Schizosaccharomyces pombe: one gene and its partner. The protein of the gene in region 1 interacts with the protein of each later gene in a pairwise test. Each region holds a gene or a part of one and is shown on either strand. Other genes may lie near its edges. The genes, in order: rdi1 and SPOM_SPAC23A1.14C.

Region 1 (8,613 bases):
CTTATTGAACAAGATCAATGTTTAACCCTATCAATAAAATCTCGACTGAAATACAGTACTTCTATTTTCAAGATCAAAAAGAGAAAACAAACGCCCGCTTATCTCAAAAATCTAATCATCATAACAATGCTTTTTCAAAATTTAGAAACTTACCAACAGCGGCAGTAGCAAGCAAGGATCCAATAATAACTGATCGCCTCATATTTATCAAAAAATAAAAGATGATTTTTAACGACAGCTGGCTGTTAAAACAACGAGATTTCCAGACTACTTAGTGGAAATCTATAATACGTTAGGAATAGGAACGGATTACACCAAACCAAGTAGGTGAAAGATGAGAGTCTAGCAAATGATGTGCAAAGAATTAGTGAAAGAAAAAGTGTGATACCAAGAAACCAAGTTAACGATGTCTCTATTCTACTGCAGTAAAACTATATTAAGACAGTAGCTTTGCGCTCAATAACTTTTTATGGGTTTAGGATTCATTAATCAATCTTTTAATCAGTGTGAAGTATTAAAATAAAAAGTTAAGTTTCAAGCACTATGTAGGATTTTCTCAAAGTCGAGCGAGATACGTTGAAATGAGTTTAAGAATGAGTTATTACCGTTACAATAGTATTCTAGTAATTCCCATCAAAGGGACTAATCAGGCTAGTTAATAGCTATTTGTATTGTTTTCTATGTACTTCTTTGGTGACAACAAGGAAAAGTGGAAAAGTATAAGATACTTGGAAAAATTTAATCAAAATCTCAAAACTCATAATTTCAGTGAAAAGAATATAGTCGGATGTATATATCCTTCCAAAATATCGCATTTGTAAGCTTTGGAACGAGATTTAAAAGAAACAACGTAGATTGCTAAAGGGGAATATGTGAAGATCATATGTAAGCTATAAAAGTAATTTGCACAACAAAAGGCAATCTCCAAACAATCCGAGATATTTGGGTGAAGTAAAGTTTCACTGAAGAAGGTGGTAAGAAATCGTCATTACCATATTCAATTGTAGTCCAGACACCGATATGTGAAAGAAATTGGTAAGAAAAAGGAAAATGTTTGCTTTGTAACAAAACATCACTATAAATTTCTTTATAGTACTGAATACCGAGAATTTTGAATAACCAAGTAGATTTGAAATTTACGATTTTAAAAAATAAGGCTGGCATAAATAATGACTACTTCCAGCTTTTTGCAACGTCAAAAGCCCAAACAAATTCATGATGGACCACTTTATCATCATCAACAAACTTTCCATTGGCTTCATAATGTCCGCGAGCCAGCATACCTGTAGGTGCCTCATCTGGTTCAGAGGTAAAATCATAAGGTGTTTCAGAAGGTCCATAGGAGCCAATCATGGTAGATGTTTTGTCAACAACAAAGCCACGTCTGCGAACAGTTTGGACATATCTTAAGCCTGAAATTACTTCGTGTTGTACACGAAATTTAACACCAATCTTAAACTCGCTTCCTTCCTTAATAGTGAACCCTTTCTTGCGGATTTGTTCGACACTTGCTGCATCTTCCATGTTAACATCAACTGGGTCACGGCCGTCAACAAGTAAACTCAGCTTTAAAATAACAACTGTTCTACGATCATTCGAGGGTGAATAACCTGTTCCCGTGATACCCAGAGATGCTTTCCATTTCTGCAATGATTCATCTTCGGCATCCATCTTCATATATTCATTAAGTGATTTCTTTTCTCCCAGAGAAACCGGAGGTCCATGCTCAAATGTATCATCCTCTAGTTCAGGGTTATGTTGATCAGCGGATACTTCATTGTTAACACTCATTTTAAAACAACGCAATAGAATTTAATTATCTGCCAGTAGCTAAACCAAGGACAATTTGTTTTTATAAAAAAAGTTCAGATTCGTTGTTTTGTTAATGTACTGTTCTAGAGTTGAAATTGGCAAAGGGAACATAGCATATTGCTATCTCAACAATATAACCAGATGTACTACTATGTTAACATTTCGGTGACTTGGATTATTTTAAATATAACGGAGATGCAGAAAAGCGTGAGAAAAGTATAAGATTTTTTTTTTCTTTCTATTCCCTTCGATTTTTTTTTTAGTGTCATTATCCATGCTTTTATACATGTAAATATGTTGGAGTAATCCCAAGCATTGACGTCTTATGAGACGTAAAAAAGAAGGAACTTTCTATGCTAGCTTTTCTGTAGGCAGATGTTCTTTACATGAAATTGTTTGAGCAGCAAGTTATAGCTGTAGTCGATAACTATTATACAACCAGATTTGATACGTTTAGCGGAAAAATTATCAATCACTTCAGGAATTATTATTAAAAAACTTACGAAGGAAGTCCACTGAAAATAAAAATCATGTGAAAGATACGCTTAACTATACCAAACCCTAATTAATTACAAAAACGGCGGTTGGTGTTAAAGTGAAAATTAGTAAGCCAATCTGTGTGCTATTATTTTTAATACCAAGACATTCCTGGCACGGAGTTCTGCTCCCATTGTAATTTTCCTCGTAGACCACACTCTTGAAAGACAATTACTAGATTACCTTGATTAAGGTACTGTTTGTTTAATATCAACTTCTTTTTTGTTTTTAAAGATCATTTTGAAAGGGGTTTAATAGATTAGCATTTCGTTATACGATAAGGTTTTAGTCAACTACCCGATTTCTACTACCAGGAACCAGTTTCCTTGAGCTTTTACCATTTGCTAGTATAGGGTGTTTTATATATTATTCTATTTATGTTGAATTGAACCATAAGTGTCTCCTTCGCATAAATACACTAGCCTTTTTTATTCCTGTTTTATTTTAGAACACTATCCATTTGAGAGGAAAATTTGGGCAAGGTAATGGCAATGTCGTCTATCACCTCTGCTAAACAATTAAATGCCGAAGAGCTTTTAGATGAATGCGATTCTTTTAATGGGGAATTTGTTCCTGGAACAATTCCCTTCCGTGCAAATGGCGCTGCCATTGGATATGTTACCCCTTTGGTACTAGAAATCCTCATAAAGGCGGATAATTTCAAATTCAATTGGGTTTATGTTCCAGGAGAGTATATTGAAATAAACGCATCTACTTTTGAAAAAAGAACTGACATCTTAGCTAAGGTACTGGAGCATTGGCGCCATAACAATACATTTGGAATTGCTGATCAATGGAGGAATGAATTATATACTGTTTATGGAAAATCTAAAAAGCCTGTATTGGCCGTTGAACGGGGCGGATTTTGGTTATTCGGTTTTTTGAGCACTGGTGTGCATTGTACCATGTATATTCCAGCAACTAAAGAACATCCTCTTCGTATTTGGGTACCACGAAGATCACCGACTAAACAAACGTGGCCCAATTATTTAGATAATAGCGTTGCCGGCGGAATTGCTCATGGTGATTCAGTCATAGGCACTATGATAAAGGAATTTTCTGAAGAAGCTAATTTGGACGTTTCTTCTATGAATCTTATTCCTTGTGGCACTGTCTCCTACATCAAAATGGAGAAAAGGCATTGGATTCAGCCCGAGTTACAATATGTATTCGATTTACCTGTTGATGATCTTGTTATCCCAAGAATTAATGATGGAGAAGTCGCTGGTTTCAGTTTATTACCATTGAATCAAGTACTTCATGAACTTGAATTAAAAAGTTTTAAGCCAAATTGTGCTCTGGTTCTTTTAGACTTTTTAATCCGTCATGGTATCATTACTCCACAGCATCCTCAGTATCTCCAAACTTTAGAACGGATACATAGACCGTTGCCTGTTCCTGTTGGAAAATATGAAAGAGGGGATTCTTTTGAAGATACTTCAAAGAAAGCTGAAACGTGTGTTCCTGCAAAACCCCAAAAAGCCACTCATCAGCTAGCTCCATGTAAGGCTTGGTTACGTGACTATGATACTGATCAAAAGTTTGCGGTATTACTATTAAATCAACCCATAGATATACCGGATGATAGATTTCGTACTTTATGGAAAAGAGCTAGTATCCGAGTCTGCGCAGACGGTGGTGCTAACCAATTGAGAAATTACGATTCTTCGCTCAAACCGGATTATGTCGTTGGTGACTTTGATTCGTTAACAGATGAAACTAAAGCTTATTATAAAGAAATGGGAGTCAACATTGTATTCGACCCATGCCAAAACACCACTGACTTTATGAAATGCCATAAAATAATTAAAGAACATGGGATTGATACTATTTTTGTATTATGTGGCATGGGTGGAAGAGTTGATCATGCCATTGGTAATTTAAACCATCTATTCTGGGCCGCCTCGATTTCTGAAAAGAATGAAGTATTTCTATTAACTGAATTGAATGTATCAACTTTGCTTCAACCCGGAATAAATCATGTTGATTGTCACGACAACATTGGTTTACATTGCGGTCTTCTGCCAGTAGGACAGAGTGTGTATGTTAAAAAAACCAGCGGCCTTGAGTGGAATATTGAGGATCGCATTTGTCAATTTGGAGGACTCGTCAGCTCTTGCAATGTAGTGACAAAAGCAACGGTGACTATAGAGGTCAACAATTTTATAGTATGGACAATGGAAACACGTCTATAAGACCTGTAAGTAAGAAACTCAGAAAGAATATTCATTATTCCCAACAGCTCAAAAAAATTAAGATATTTATTTAGATATAAAAAATATAAAACATCTATAGAGTATAAGCGGTAATGGTCATAAAGCAAAAAGATAATTGATTAGAGTAATGAAATAAAATAGAATTTTAGTAAAGCCAACTAACATTTTGAACTGCAAGATACATCTCAGAAAGTGAAGAAATAGAAAAAAATCATAATTTTTCATATTGTTGAGCTTGACATGTCATTTTTATCCTCCTCGATACACCCGACAGTTCAGAATCCAAGCTGGACAATTAAAGGTATTTGAATGTATAACCCTAAAACCCATCACAAATACCATAGCTACTACGCTAATGTTGATATACAAAAATTATACATAGTTAAGAGATCGTATACATATTTATACTCATTAACTACTCTGAGGATGACTGCTAAAGTGACTGTCTTTTAGAACACCTACCCTGAAGAAAACGAATGTATCCAGAATAAATCATATGTAGGAGGACATCGGGAAAAGAGGGGGGTAGGAACAAGAACCGAATCAAATAATATAGTTAGAAATAAAAAAAAGTCTACACTTCATCAACGTTATCATCCCAATCATTATCACGCATGCTTCTGGGAGCGTAGTCTTGCAATCCTGCTACGTAGTTTGCACCACAGTAGGCGATACCTGCAAGAAGAACTAAAAAGCCTAGGAAAGAAGTAAACCCGGAGTAAGAAAAGAGTAAAGTACCCATGAAAGCGTAGAAGAAGCCCCTTCCTAAGAATGAGAACATGAACGATCCATATTTAATAGCAATAGGAGGAATTTCCTTTTCTAAACCAATAGTTCCCAAACCGAAAACGATGATGAACAATGCAAGTAAAGCGTTTACGAAGCTAAATGAAAATAACTTGATAAATCCGCTTAAAACGAAGATACCACCTACGCCCAAATTAATGGCACTAAACATTTTTGTTTTATCCATTGTGAATTAAGTGTATGCAACCAATATTAAATTTTTCAAGCAATATGTATTTTAGTCGATGTTTGCTTAAAGACAAAGAGAAATGCAAGTTACTAAGCCTGCCTATGCTTACCGATGCGGTCATGCATATTTACGAACTATTGAAATACGGTAAATAAAAATAACGAATTCCATAATTCTCAACCAACTTTTTGTTGTTTACAGAAAATGAATAATTCAATTCATCGAAAATGCATTTTGTTTTCTATAGCATTCTTTGTACTGTTTTTGAAGTTAAAAACACTATCATTTAGTAAATAATGTACTTTCGACCCGGCTTTTTTTTGAGACAACTGTTGTTGACAATTTTAAGGTCTGTGGGTCAATTTATATATTTGTCAAACGTTCGTAAACAAATGTATTTGTATCTTAGTTTCATACGAGCTCCTTTAGCTATATGTGATCTACTCTCACTCGGGATCTACAGGGCTGTAAAATTTTTTGCACTCAAGTTTCACGCGATTATTATCAGATGCACCTGAATAAAAAAGAATAAAGTAAAATAAAAAGCCGAATGTTTTATAACGTAGTAAAATTCCTTCTTATTTTGATCGCTTTGCCATTCATTTGATTATGTTTATAATGATAATTTCACGTGCAATGTCAACTTTGATAGACGGCTACATCTATTTCTAATTCGTAACGCTATAAAAAAAAACTCCATTTTAAACTGAGAATAAAGCAAGAAGTCGATTAGCCGAATATAGATATCAGCATGATTCGTTTTAAACGGCCCAAAGCCTTGTATATATTTGAGTAATTTTCTACTGTACTTAATTGTCTGTAATTAAACAACTATTTGTTACTCCTACCTTGTTACACTTGGATTTAATACTCTGGAATTAGTGTACTAACTCCTAAATAAATATTTAAGTAGTATTTTTCTTTAAGATATTTCTTTAATAAACATTCTCTTCTAATGAAAAGAAAAGCGTCATTATTGGTATTTTAGTTTTCAGAGCAAAGAGGTACTTAACATTTATTATGTCGCAATTATTTTATATATATATTATATTAATATTTTGTAATGAGAAACCTAGGCCTAATAGTGTAGTGGTTAACATACCTCTTTCGGGTAATCCCCACTTGTATGCTGAGTTTAGAGGTGATCCCTGGTTCGAATCCTGGTTAGGCCCCTTTTTATACTGGGCTTGCTGTATAAATTTATCTGATTAATTTTGAAACTACGCAAACCAACTTTCAATAATTAAAAAGTTTTCCTTACACCTTGCTTGATTACCTTTTAATAGATGTGAAATAAGAACTACTAAATTTGTGATAAATACCGAAAACAATCAGAAGAGTCGAAAAGAAGCATTCAAAAAATTGTGTAAATAACGAGTAGGTTTCTAATAATACGATAATTTCACAGGATGCCTATAATGGATCTGGCAGCTAATGAGCAAATCATTTTTACTTTTTTTTTTATTTAAAACATACGAAAAGATTCTCTTTTTTTGCTGCAAACAAAATTTACTGTAATTGAACCTAGAATTGGTAGCAAAGGCATTACACCGTATTACTGTAAACTTCACTAATGTTTGTGTTTTTAGGCGCATGATGAACATGATTACTCAAGAAAGTAACCAGCGACTATGTCAAATTTGCTTCTGATCATTGACTCGGTTTCACAAAAAATAAGAGACAGGAGGAAGTTGGAAGAGTTTGGACAGAATCCCGATGAAGAAATTGAGTCTTCATTGAAAGATGTTCGGCAAGAATTGCAAAAACTTAATGAGGAGCAATCGCGATTAGAGAAAAATGCACAAATCCCAGAGTACAGAGTACGAGAATCCGAAGCATTTCTTATTAGAATGCAAAGGAGGTTAGAGTCTGCTGAGGAAGAGTTTGAGAAGCAGCGGCGTGCATCCTCAATTCCTGCTGACGGAACAAGTGCCTTTTCTGCAAACCCGCAAGTTGCAAGTACGAATAATAAGTTAACTCCCCTTCCTTCTTTACAAAAAACGACTTCGAGTAGTGAGGGATCTGATATTGAGATGGAGGCCATGTATCCGGTTGATGGCAATGACCCTGATCCCATAAACGTAAACGTTTTGGCTCAAATGCATCAGCAAATGCTCAACGAACAAGAAGAATCTTTAGGAGGGATCGAAGCAAGTGTCCAAAGGCAAAAGCGGATGGGATATGCAATGAATACAGAATTGTCCGAACAAAATGTTTTACTAGATAATATGAATAATGATGCTGATCGAATTGAGAGGAGGTTTGATCATGCAAAAAATCGATTAAACAAGGTCAGCCGAAAGGCTAAACAGTATCCCAGATGCTTTATTATTTTGCTCCTTTGTGCGTTGTTATTACTTGTGGCTTCCATTTAGGGTGCAAATAAATATCACTTAGCAATTGTACTTGCTGTAACTCTGTTACACTTTCACTTAATTCTTTTATTTCACGTCCTCTTTGAACTAGGCTATATAGTTCTTTTATTTATATTTAATAACCGTGATATTTACGAACTTTTTTTTTACGATTTTGAAAATGTTTTTGTGATCTTCAACTTCTTTTGCTAAACGAACCTTCCCTTTATAGGGAATACAGAAATTAACTTTTTCGTACATTCCAGTTTCTAACCATTGACTGTCTTTCTACTTTAGTAATTATTTTTCTGCTAGCGCATTTCTTATCGAAATCATTTTTGTGTTCTTTTAAGGGCCGTCCCCCTTGTTCACAAAGCTAGTTTTGACGACTTAAATCAAGTGAATATAGTGCATGCAGAGTGAATGCTTAATAACCATTTGTTACAAACTTTGTTTCGCTAATAACTCCTTATTTGACATTTGAATAAATAACCTATTAGACTTTCAAAATTTTTAGATTCAGGGCAGTAAACAATAAACAACAATATCTTCAATTAGCTGTATCAATTTATTTTCAGAAGTTTTGCTATATTATTCCTTCATCTCATTAAAAAATATTCTCTTCTATTATTAAACATACGTAGTCATGTTATCATTATCATTATTAAGGAAAAGTTTGAACGAGTAGATTCTTTCTTGAGAATTAAGGGAACATGTG
Region 2 (9,362 bases), 2.8 Mb from region 1:
GGATGCAGATGCGTTATCAAGATACCTTAAAGAGTGTTGGGTAGTTGCGATGTTTGGTAAATCAGTTGGGCACTGTGAATGAGTACAATCGACAAGAAAAACTGAATTTGGGTTAGAGGGGATGACGGTAGACGTGTTGGTGGAAGTAGTAATGTGGGTAGTGGTGGTGTTGGTTACAGCAGCACCGGTAGCAGCATCCTCACCACCAGTAATAGTGTGAGTAGCGGTAAGTGGTAGCGAGTCGTTCTCAGTGGAGCAAGATGGCGTCTCTTCAGATATGGTATATGGAGCTGAGAATGTATGCAATTTTTCCACATTTTTTAAAGAATGTGGACGCGAGTTGCTGTCGTTACCGAATGGCGCACTCAATGTATCCACATCAACTATCTTCGTAAGTGCTTCACTTGTACTGTCAATAAAGTCATTAGCTGAAAGATATGATTCTGTATCGGCACCAAGATGCTCTGTATTGTTGGAAATCGACTTGATGCTACGTGTAATAGAAGGAGCATAACCTAAGGAAGAGTTGCGAGAATGAACAGCACTAGTTGGCGTAGGTTGATGAAGAGCCATTTCGCTAGCACGTTCTACAAACACAGCATCCTCTGCTGGCTCGGTAAAGTCCTTTGGAAAGGAGCCAATTTTCCTGTTACCGTCCGAGTCCACATATGTTCCGGTATACCAGTCGCCGTCCAGATTACTGACGACGTCGATAACTTGGCCTGGATCAAATTCCAAGTCATCGGAGAAGCTGCTTCTATAAGGATAGAGTGCAACCACTCTTGTGGGAAACGAGCTCATCGTGGAGCCTGCGATCCGCTAATACTTTTTTTAAGTACAAAGAGAGATCAGATAAACAATGAACCAGTATAAAAAGAATGGTACCATTCAATATACAATACACTGATTCTTTTTTCCTAAAACACAGATATACAAAAAGCCAAAAAAAGAGAAAACAAGATACCAAAGATGAAGGCTCCGCCGATTTATTTTACCACTAAAAATATATACAAATGATAGCGAAGCTGAACGTCATCGTTAATCTCTTCTATTAGGATATCTAAGCCAGTACACTGTCATTTTGGTTCCTAAAGGGCACGCGATTTGTGCAGACAAAGAAGTTTGGTCAATCTTAACAGCAATAAACACCCAAATGATAATATCGCACGTGAAGAAGCGACTGACTACATGTGAGACGATTTTCAATGAATGAACATTGTGGGGAAAGGATCTGGGGAATTCCCTTCCAATCGTAACATCTTGTTGACAGTGATTCGTTCGACTAGCCAAAGGTAGCGTAATGCACTGTAAGATTATTGGGTATTATTTTGCTTATCAATGTTGATTGGTTTTTGTTATTTAACGTTATAATAATATTTACGCAATTGGATCTGGTTTCCTATTTTACATAAGGATACACTAGCAATCCTAAAACGAAGCCACAGCATCGTTGGTTTGCTATATTTACGATTACTGTGTGGGTGTGGGGTATGGTATGGATATGGATATGAATCATTAAGATTAAGGACCAGTTATTTACTAGTGGAAGATATGAATAGGGTGGATGTAAATTTATCATTATTATTTTTAACGGTAAAATGATTTTCTTAAAGAGACCTACAAAACTTTCTTTACATGATTGGTGCAACGCATGCTTTTCTTTATTTTTTTTCCTTTGTCCACACTCAACTGAGAGGGTAATTTCTATCAAAATTTTTAGTACCAAGGCCAACGCACTGTCTTAGTTCGCTGTAAATGAATTGCGTAACTCAAGAACTCTTTAACAAAAATTGCACGGCGCTAAAGTATTTTTACGATGCTCATTCCTCCTTCCAATGCTTGACTGACTCATATCTGCCTAATAGCGATTTTTAAGACCTTCTGTTTTCCAGCTGACTCCAATATATCCAATTCAGATATGAACAAAAAATCAATTCTCAAAAAGCCGAAAAATGCTCAAAGCACTCAAGAAAAGCAATTGATCACGTGGTCGAAGAGTCTTATAGATGAAGCACGCAGTCGACTTCAGTATGATTTTTTTGCCCTCGAATGGATTGAAAAGCTGGTTGATCCGGTTTCCCTAGAAACTTTAGAGGAAGCTCGTAAATACCTTCGAAAAAGTGATTACGATCAAGTGGTGAAGGAGCGTAAACTCGTCAATCTGTGCGGTTATCCCGTTTGTCCTTATGAACCTAAGCAGCAAACTAGGTATAAATTAGAAGATTCAGGAATGAAGGTCTACGGTGGACTCAACTATTATTGCTCGAAGGATTGCTTTCTAAAAAGTTGTCAATATATGGTTGAGTTGAGCGACGAACCATTATGGATACGTGAAGATGCTCGCGAAGCTATGAAACAACATCTCGATCCTCGTCAAGATGAAGCATTTCGTAAAGAGTTGGAAAACAAAAAAATTGAAGATGTACGCTTACTCCTGCAAGCGTTGCCTGTGGGTTATAAGGCAAAAGTTGGTGAAATCGTTGAACATCCTTTGGCTAATGAACAATCATAAAGCAAATGGAAGTTTATCAAATTTTTTCTTTTCACCCCAGAATATGTATAATATTTTTGAACAAAAAAGACACCGACTTGTGTCTAGCGTCGTTTGAACTAGAATGAAAGGTTGCTTCATTCTACAGTTGCGTGCATAGTAACATTTCTGTGGTTTTCGACTTTTTATTAAAGATCGATACAATATTCCCTTTACCATTTACACTTTCTAATTTATTTCACCTTATTGCCTTCTATCTTTATTGTCTCTTTCTCTCTCTTAGCATCTTTATTTCTCGTTATTTATAATTCCGCATTTGATTTCTTTTCCTTATTCTATATACCGAACCTTTCGATGTATAGTCTTATATTCACCTTCAGCTGTGCTATATTGTTAGTGCATCCATCATTCGTTTCCCACTCATCATCATTTACCTTTATCGTTCTTTCCTCTTGCATCTCATAATACTATTTCTCCTTTAACTTGTTCAATAAAGCAGAGAACATAGCATTCGATGGCCGACGTTCTGAATGCACTAGAAGAAAAAGTTGTTGAATTACAACAGTCAGAAAGCGTTGAAGTTATTAAAAGGCATTTTCGAGAGTTTAGAAAAATATGGGAAACTGCAAGGGTAGAGCTTGAATACTCATCCATTCAGCTAGACTCAGTTCTACGATATGAAAAGGCTGTACAAGAATACATTCGGTTGAACAGAAGATATCGGAATAAGATTGCTAGTGGTGAACCATGGTTGCCTATCGCACAAGAAATAGGTAAGATTGTAGATGAAGAGGAAATTACCTCACCAAGTGATGGTTCTCTTCAAAAGCGTTCAATGGATAACTCTGGTTCGTGGCAATCTGATGATATTTATCTTACAAGCGCCAGTCAGGTCACGGCGGCTATGCGTGATATTCACGCACAAATGGTACAGGCAGTGGATATGAGTGCCGAAAATGCAATGGAGTTGTCTTCGAGTACCAACTTGTTAGAAACTCTACAAGAGAAATATTTTGGTGTAGAGGACGTTTTATATACAAGTAAACGGATAATCAAATCGCTCAAATTAAGTGATCGAAGTGATTACTTTTTAGTCGTCTCGGGATTTGGGTTCTTCATATTTGTGGTTGTCTATCTTCTCTTCAAGCGAATTGTCTGGCCTATTCTTTCTATGTTTCTTTGGTTTCTTCGGTGAGATTTTGAAAATGCATTGTTTATTAAAAAGAAAGGCGAGATTAAAAGCAAGGCTTTTTGAGGCTCGTTCCCATCGAGCTCGAAGTATCTATACGAGAAATTATTTTTTCGCCCTTTTTCTCAATTTTATTTTGAAAAAGTCTTTGTAAAGTAGTTCTTATGTTTTAATGTTTATCTTATACGATTGGTTTTTATTTACGTGTTGTTCTCTTTAAATAAAAACGTTGAATGGCGTAGAAGTTTGCTGATGATAGTAATGCTATAGTATTTGTAACTCAATGGGAAACGCCATTCCGTAAACAAAATGAGTTCTTGCTCACGAAATATGCGACAGTCGGCATGCAGCTGCATTTCAAATCATTCTTATTGTATATGCCTCTTTGATTGTCAAAACCATTTGTTTGACCACAGTACAAAAAGAGCAGTATTCTTTGAATTCCTAATAAAAACTAGAGCGCTTGTTAATTGGGAAACGCATCTTGTTAAGTCTGTCGCATATTTTCTAGGGTCCGGTACGAACGCCTAGAATCTGAGATCGGATAGCAAACTCCATTAAACCTATAAACTTAAAACTAATAACTGCTTATGTAAAAATTCATTAACCAAACGTTCTAATTATTCAGTGTCCTGGTTCTATTTGTTTGTGTGCTTTCTACTTCAAATGCGTAATATAGTGTTTACAAGCACGTAAGCATAACGATATAAATTAAGGCACATGCCCCGCGATGTCTCACAACAACTTGTCTTTAACCAAACTCTTTACGTTAGTTAACGGAGATATAAGTCTTTAAAAGAATTATCATAACTAGGTATCTGTCGTTTGATCTCGTACTTATTTCTTTGGTCGATTGGTGATTACTAGTGTAGGAGCATTCAATTAGATATAAACATTATTAATTCCGTAAACGTGTAAACACTAGTTTTCTCGAAATTCATTTGTTGTGACCTTTCTGCATTTCATCTCTGTTTTTTTTTCTTTAGTTTAGCATGACTCACACTCCTTCGTTCGATCTCTCTGACATCAAGTCCACATTAAGTACTAATGTACTGCATGCCGATGATGCTTATGCATTAGAAAATGATGTGGCTCCTCCCATCCATATTTCTACTACTTATACTTATCCCGGTACTCCTGACACTCTTCAGCCTTTCACCAAACTAGCGGAGGAAGACTTTCCATACTATGCCCGTATCAGCGGCAACAATGTTGATCGAGCTGAAGCTTCGTTGAGCAGTGTTCTTGGTGCACCTTCTGTTGTTTACTCATCTGGTTTGGCTGCTATTTACGGACTGTTGTCGTATTTAAATCCCAAACACATCGCCGTTCATAAACCCGGTTTCGGTGGTTATTCAGGCACAATCCAAATTATTGCACGCATCAATCGTCTAACCGGTTTAGAAACCTCATTTATTGATGGCAAATGCGATGCCATCGGTGAAGGTGATGTTATATGGTTGGAAACTCCTTTGAATCCTTTAGGTATTGCCTTTGACATTCCTTTTTACAAGGAACTGGCAAAAAAGAAGGGTGCCATACTTGTTGTGGATTCTACTTTTGCACCACCCCCTATCCAGGATGCACTTGTTTTAGGTGCTGATTATGTAGTTCACTCGGCGACTAAATATCTAGCCGGCCACAGCGATGTTTTGGCTGGAGTCACAGCCTCGAAAGATAGATCCAAGATCCTTGATTTGAAAGCAGATCGTGCTTATCTTGGCACAATTTTACATCCTCAGCAAGCATTCTTACTCTTGCGCTCTCTTCGTACCTTTCCTCTTCGCATCGCAAAACACAGTGAAAACGGATTTTTGGTTGCCCAACATTTGAACAAGTTGGCTACCGATGAGCAATTTGCTACTAGCCTAGGAATTGATAGTAGCCTGATTTTGGAGGTTTACCATAACTCCTTGCAGACCAAGGAATTTGTCGCTAAAAATTTGACTGGCGGTCATGCATCTTGCTTTTCTGTTCTACTTAAATCTGACACAGTTGCTAAGCATTTGTGCTGCGAGTTGAAATATTTCCATCACGCTACTTCGTTGGGTAGTGTGGAAAGTTTGATTGAATGGCGAAGAATGACGGATTCCAAGATTGATCCTAGACTTGTTCGCTTGTCCATTGGTATTGAAGACGCTGCTGACTTGATTGCCGATTTGAATCGTGTCTTTGCATCTTTAAGTTAAATCATTGTGTTATTTGCTTGTTTTCTAATGTACTAATGAATATTGTAATTCGTTCCTTTTGAGAACATTTTTAATTCTTGCTATCTTTCTTTGCAATTTTTTGTATTGTTGTGTTTCACGTAAAAATTCACCTTGATCGCTATTGCAACAGTAAAGCGAAGGGTACGATAGAATCGGTGAGATGTCATGTTCTAGGTCATCAACCCGATCATTTTCATTCTTTAACCTTCGAACATGCTTGGCATTAACAAAACCCATCAAAGCCTTTACTTGTTCATAACTAAGTATTCCCTCAATTGTCCAGGATGGACTTTTCAACCCTTCATGATTCAAACTATAACCAAAAAAGAACTCACGTATAAAAACTAAGTGAAGGTACTTTTTCTCTTTTCTGTTAAAGAATTTTTCTAAAAAAAACGATTTAAAGAAATTAATAATAAAATCGTATCAACCTGGACTCAATAGCATTACTAGATTTGGAAGATGATTTGCCTATACCTGGTTCTCAGGCATTGAGAAAGGTGTCTGCGACAGAGGTACTTGATTTACTTGTTGAACATGAGTTGGCCTTTCCGAGCGAATTTTTTGAAGAGTTGTCGAATTTATCATTCTCTGAAAAACAAACGGCGTTAAGCAACCCCAAAACTCAGGTTTACACCAAAGGGGTGTTCGCTGCAGGACAGGTTGCTCAAAGGTGTATTGCGGGTTGTTTAAGGAAAGGCAATCCTAATTACTGGAAATCTCAACAGGTCGTAAATGCATGGGCGCGATTGTTTCCTCGTCTGCGCTTCCTGTCCCGTCAGCAAATTTCGGGAACTCAGGAGATTGAAGTCAAGTTTTTACCAGACAATTTAGGAGATAATAAGGACACTTGTCATTTATGTGGTTTATCTGCCGATGACTCCGTCGCTACTTTGGCACCTGCTGAAATGCTCATACGGAGTCAAGGAGCTTTTTGGCATGAAGGCTGCTTGAAGTATTATAAGCACCATTTTTCTAAATAGAATTTTCAATTATGGCTTTGCTGAACTTAAAAAAAGTATGGTTTGACGATGTTTCACTAGAAAAATACAAAATACTTCATCAATTGTGAGTCGTGGTTGGCACCTTTATAATTCATTTTTTGATAAAAGGGTACACCAGTCAATAATTTCTACTAGGTAGGTATTATTTGCAGCATCGTCATCTCACCTACCACTTAAAATTTTTATTGTTGAATGAAAATCATTGTATTCATGATGCGGCTATTACATGCCGGTTGTTTTAAAATATATGACTAGAAGACTATAAATCAAAAGAAGTTTGATTTATATTGCAATTGTGCTATTATGAATTTGTTGCATTACCTTTTATCATCTCGAGCTTTAGTAATAGGGGCCTGAAGCATGTACAAATCAGTAGCTCGTGAGTTTTGTATTTATGGAATATCTCAGAGTATAAAATGAATATTAATTTATTATATTACGAATATATTCCTACCAAACTCCTATGCTAGCCAAGGCCGATTAAATCTAAAACAAGTAACAAGTCACTTCAGATTTAGTGGATCACCCTTCCTAGTGTGGTAAAGTAGGCCCGGTTCAGGCAAGCCCATCGTTCACCACAGATCCTTTGAAGCTTTTTGAATTTGAGGAAATGCCTACCATCAGCTGTGACAAGGAAGAGCTGTACAAGGCCCTAGGAAGAGAGTACAGTAAGTGAAAGATGATTTGTTGATAAGCAGCGAAATTTAACATAATTGTAGCAACTCAAGAGTTTGATGAACTCTGCTTCCAATTTGGAATTGAGCTTGATGAAGACACTACAAATGACCCAGAAAGAAGTCCTTCTGAGCGTCCTTCTTTAAAAATTGACATTCCGGCAAATCGCTACGATATGCTCTGCTTAGAAGGAATCGCCCAGGCTTTGAATGTGTTTAATCGTCGCATGGCTACTCCTCAATACAAATTACTTCCTTCCACCACTTCACTCACAATTTCCCCTGAAACCTCGGAAATTCGTCCTTATGCCGCTGCAGCTATCTTACGAGGTGTGAAGCTTGATCCCATTCGTTACCAGAGCTTCATTGCCTTACAAGACAAGTTACATGCAAATTTGTGTAGAAACCGTACCCTTGTAGCCATTGGTACCCATGACTTCTCTGTAATGGAAGGTCCGTTTACCTACGAGGCATTAAAACCCGAAGAGATCAATTTCGTTCCTTTGAATCAAACCCAGGAAATCAATGGTTCTAATTTATTAGAATTTTACAAGGATAGTAAACATCTTTCCCGTTATTTACACATCATTGCCAACTCTCCCAGATATCCTGTAATTTTGGATGCTAAGAGAAGGGTTTGCTCACTTCCCCCTATCATTAATAGTGAGTTCAGTAAGATCAGTGTGGATACCCGGGACATCTTCATCGATGTTACCGCAACCGATAAAACTAAACTCGAAATTGTTGTCAACATGATGACCACGATGTTCTCTTGTTACTGTGAAGAGCCTTTTACCATTGAGCCTGTTAATATCATATCTGAGCACAATGGGTGTACTCGTGTTACTCCTAATTTGAATCCTACATGTTTTAAAGCTGATATCGACTATTTGAACGAAGCCTGTGGATTGTCCCTTCCCGAAGATGAGATCTGTCATTTGTTGACCCGAATGATGCTTACAGCAAAGCCCAACCCAAATGATTCCAAGACTCTTTTGGTATACGTTCCACCCTTGCGCGCTGATATTCTTCACCAGTGTGATATTATGGAGGATCTTGGCATTGCTTATGGATATGACAATTTGAAACACACTTATCCTGCTCATAGTGTTACATTTGGCAAGCCTTTTGAGGTTAATCGACTAGCTGACATTATTCGTAATGAAGTTGCATATGCTGGGTGGTCCGAGGTCATGCCTTTCATCCTTTGCTCCCATGACGAGAATTATGCATGGCTTCGAAAGACTGATGATTCAAAAGCTGTTCAACTTGCAAATCCCAAGACTTTAGAATTTCAAGTTGTTCGTTCAAGCTTGCTTCCTGGTATTTTGAAAACGGTTCGCGAGAACAAAAATCATGCTTTACCGATTAAAATATTTGAAGTCAGCGACGTAGCCTTTTGTGATTATTCCAGAGAGCGCATGACTCGTAATGAGCGTCATCTTTGCGCCATTTTTGCAGGTTTGAACTCTGGTTTTGAACAAATTCATGGCTTGTTAGATCGTGTGATGCTTATGTTAAATACTAAACGCATCATGAATCCCAAAGATTCCGATGCTGTGGGATACTGGATCGAGGCTGAGGACGACAGCACCTTTTTCCCAGGTCGATGTGCAGCAGTGTACTATCGTAAAGATTTTGGTACTGCTGGAATTCGCGTTGGTGTATTTGGTGTTCTCCATCCCCTTGTTTTAGAGAAGTTTGAACTCACTTCTGCTGCTTCCGCTGTTGAAATTGATTTGACACTTTGGGTTTAGATAAAACATTGGTAATGGAAAAAAAAAAAAGCCGTAA

What was found.
Region 2: the proteins of rdi1 (region 1) and SPOM_SPAC23A1.14C interact in a two-hybrid assay, tested with the Schizosaccharomyces pombe proteins (one large-scale study listed by BioGRID).

The regions. Positions count from the first base shown.
Region 1 is NC_003424.3:1,313,024-1,321,636, reverse strand, and holds rdi1 (Rho GDP dissociation inhibitor Rdi1), read right to left. Parts: upstream 1,913-8,613; 5' UTR 1,792-1,912; coding exon 1,174-1,791; 3' UTR 501-1,173; downstream 1-500. Other genes in the region: TOM complex subunit Tom20, read right to left, coding at 154-202; tnr3 (thiamine diphosphokinase Tnr3/ Nudix hydrolase fusion protein), read left to right, coding at 2,835-4,544; tvp15 (COPI-coated vesicle-associated protein), read right to left, coding at 5,140-5,538; fsv1 (SNARE Stx8), read left to right, coding at 7,173-7,916.
Region 2 is NC_003424.3:4,098,266-4,107,627, reverse strand, and holds SPOM_SPAC23A1.14C (cystathionine gamma-synthase-like protein), read left to right. Parts: upstream 1-4,419; 5' UTR 4,420-4,672; coding exon 4,673-5,869; 3' UTR 5,870-6,352; downstream 6,353-9,362. Other genes in the region: bbc1 (SH3 domain-containing protein), read right to left, coding at 1-801; RNA polymerase II CTD phosphatase Rtr1, read left to right, coding at 1,919-2,512; SNARE protein Sec20, read left to right, coding at 3,006-3,686; phenylalanine--tRNA (Phe) ligase beta subunit Frs1, read left to right, coding at 7,505-7,562, 7,614-9,325.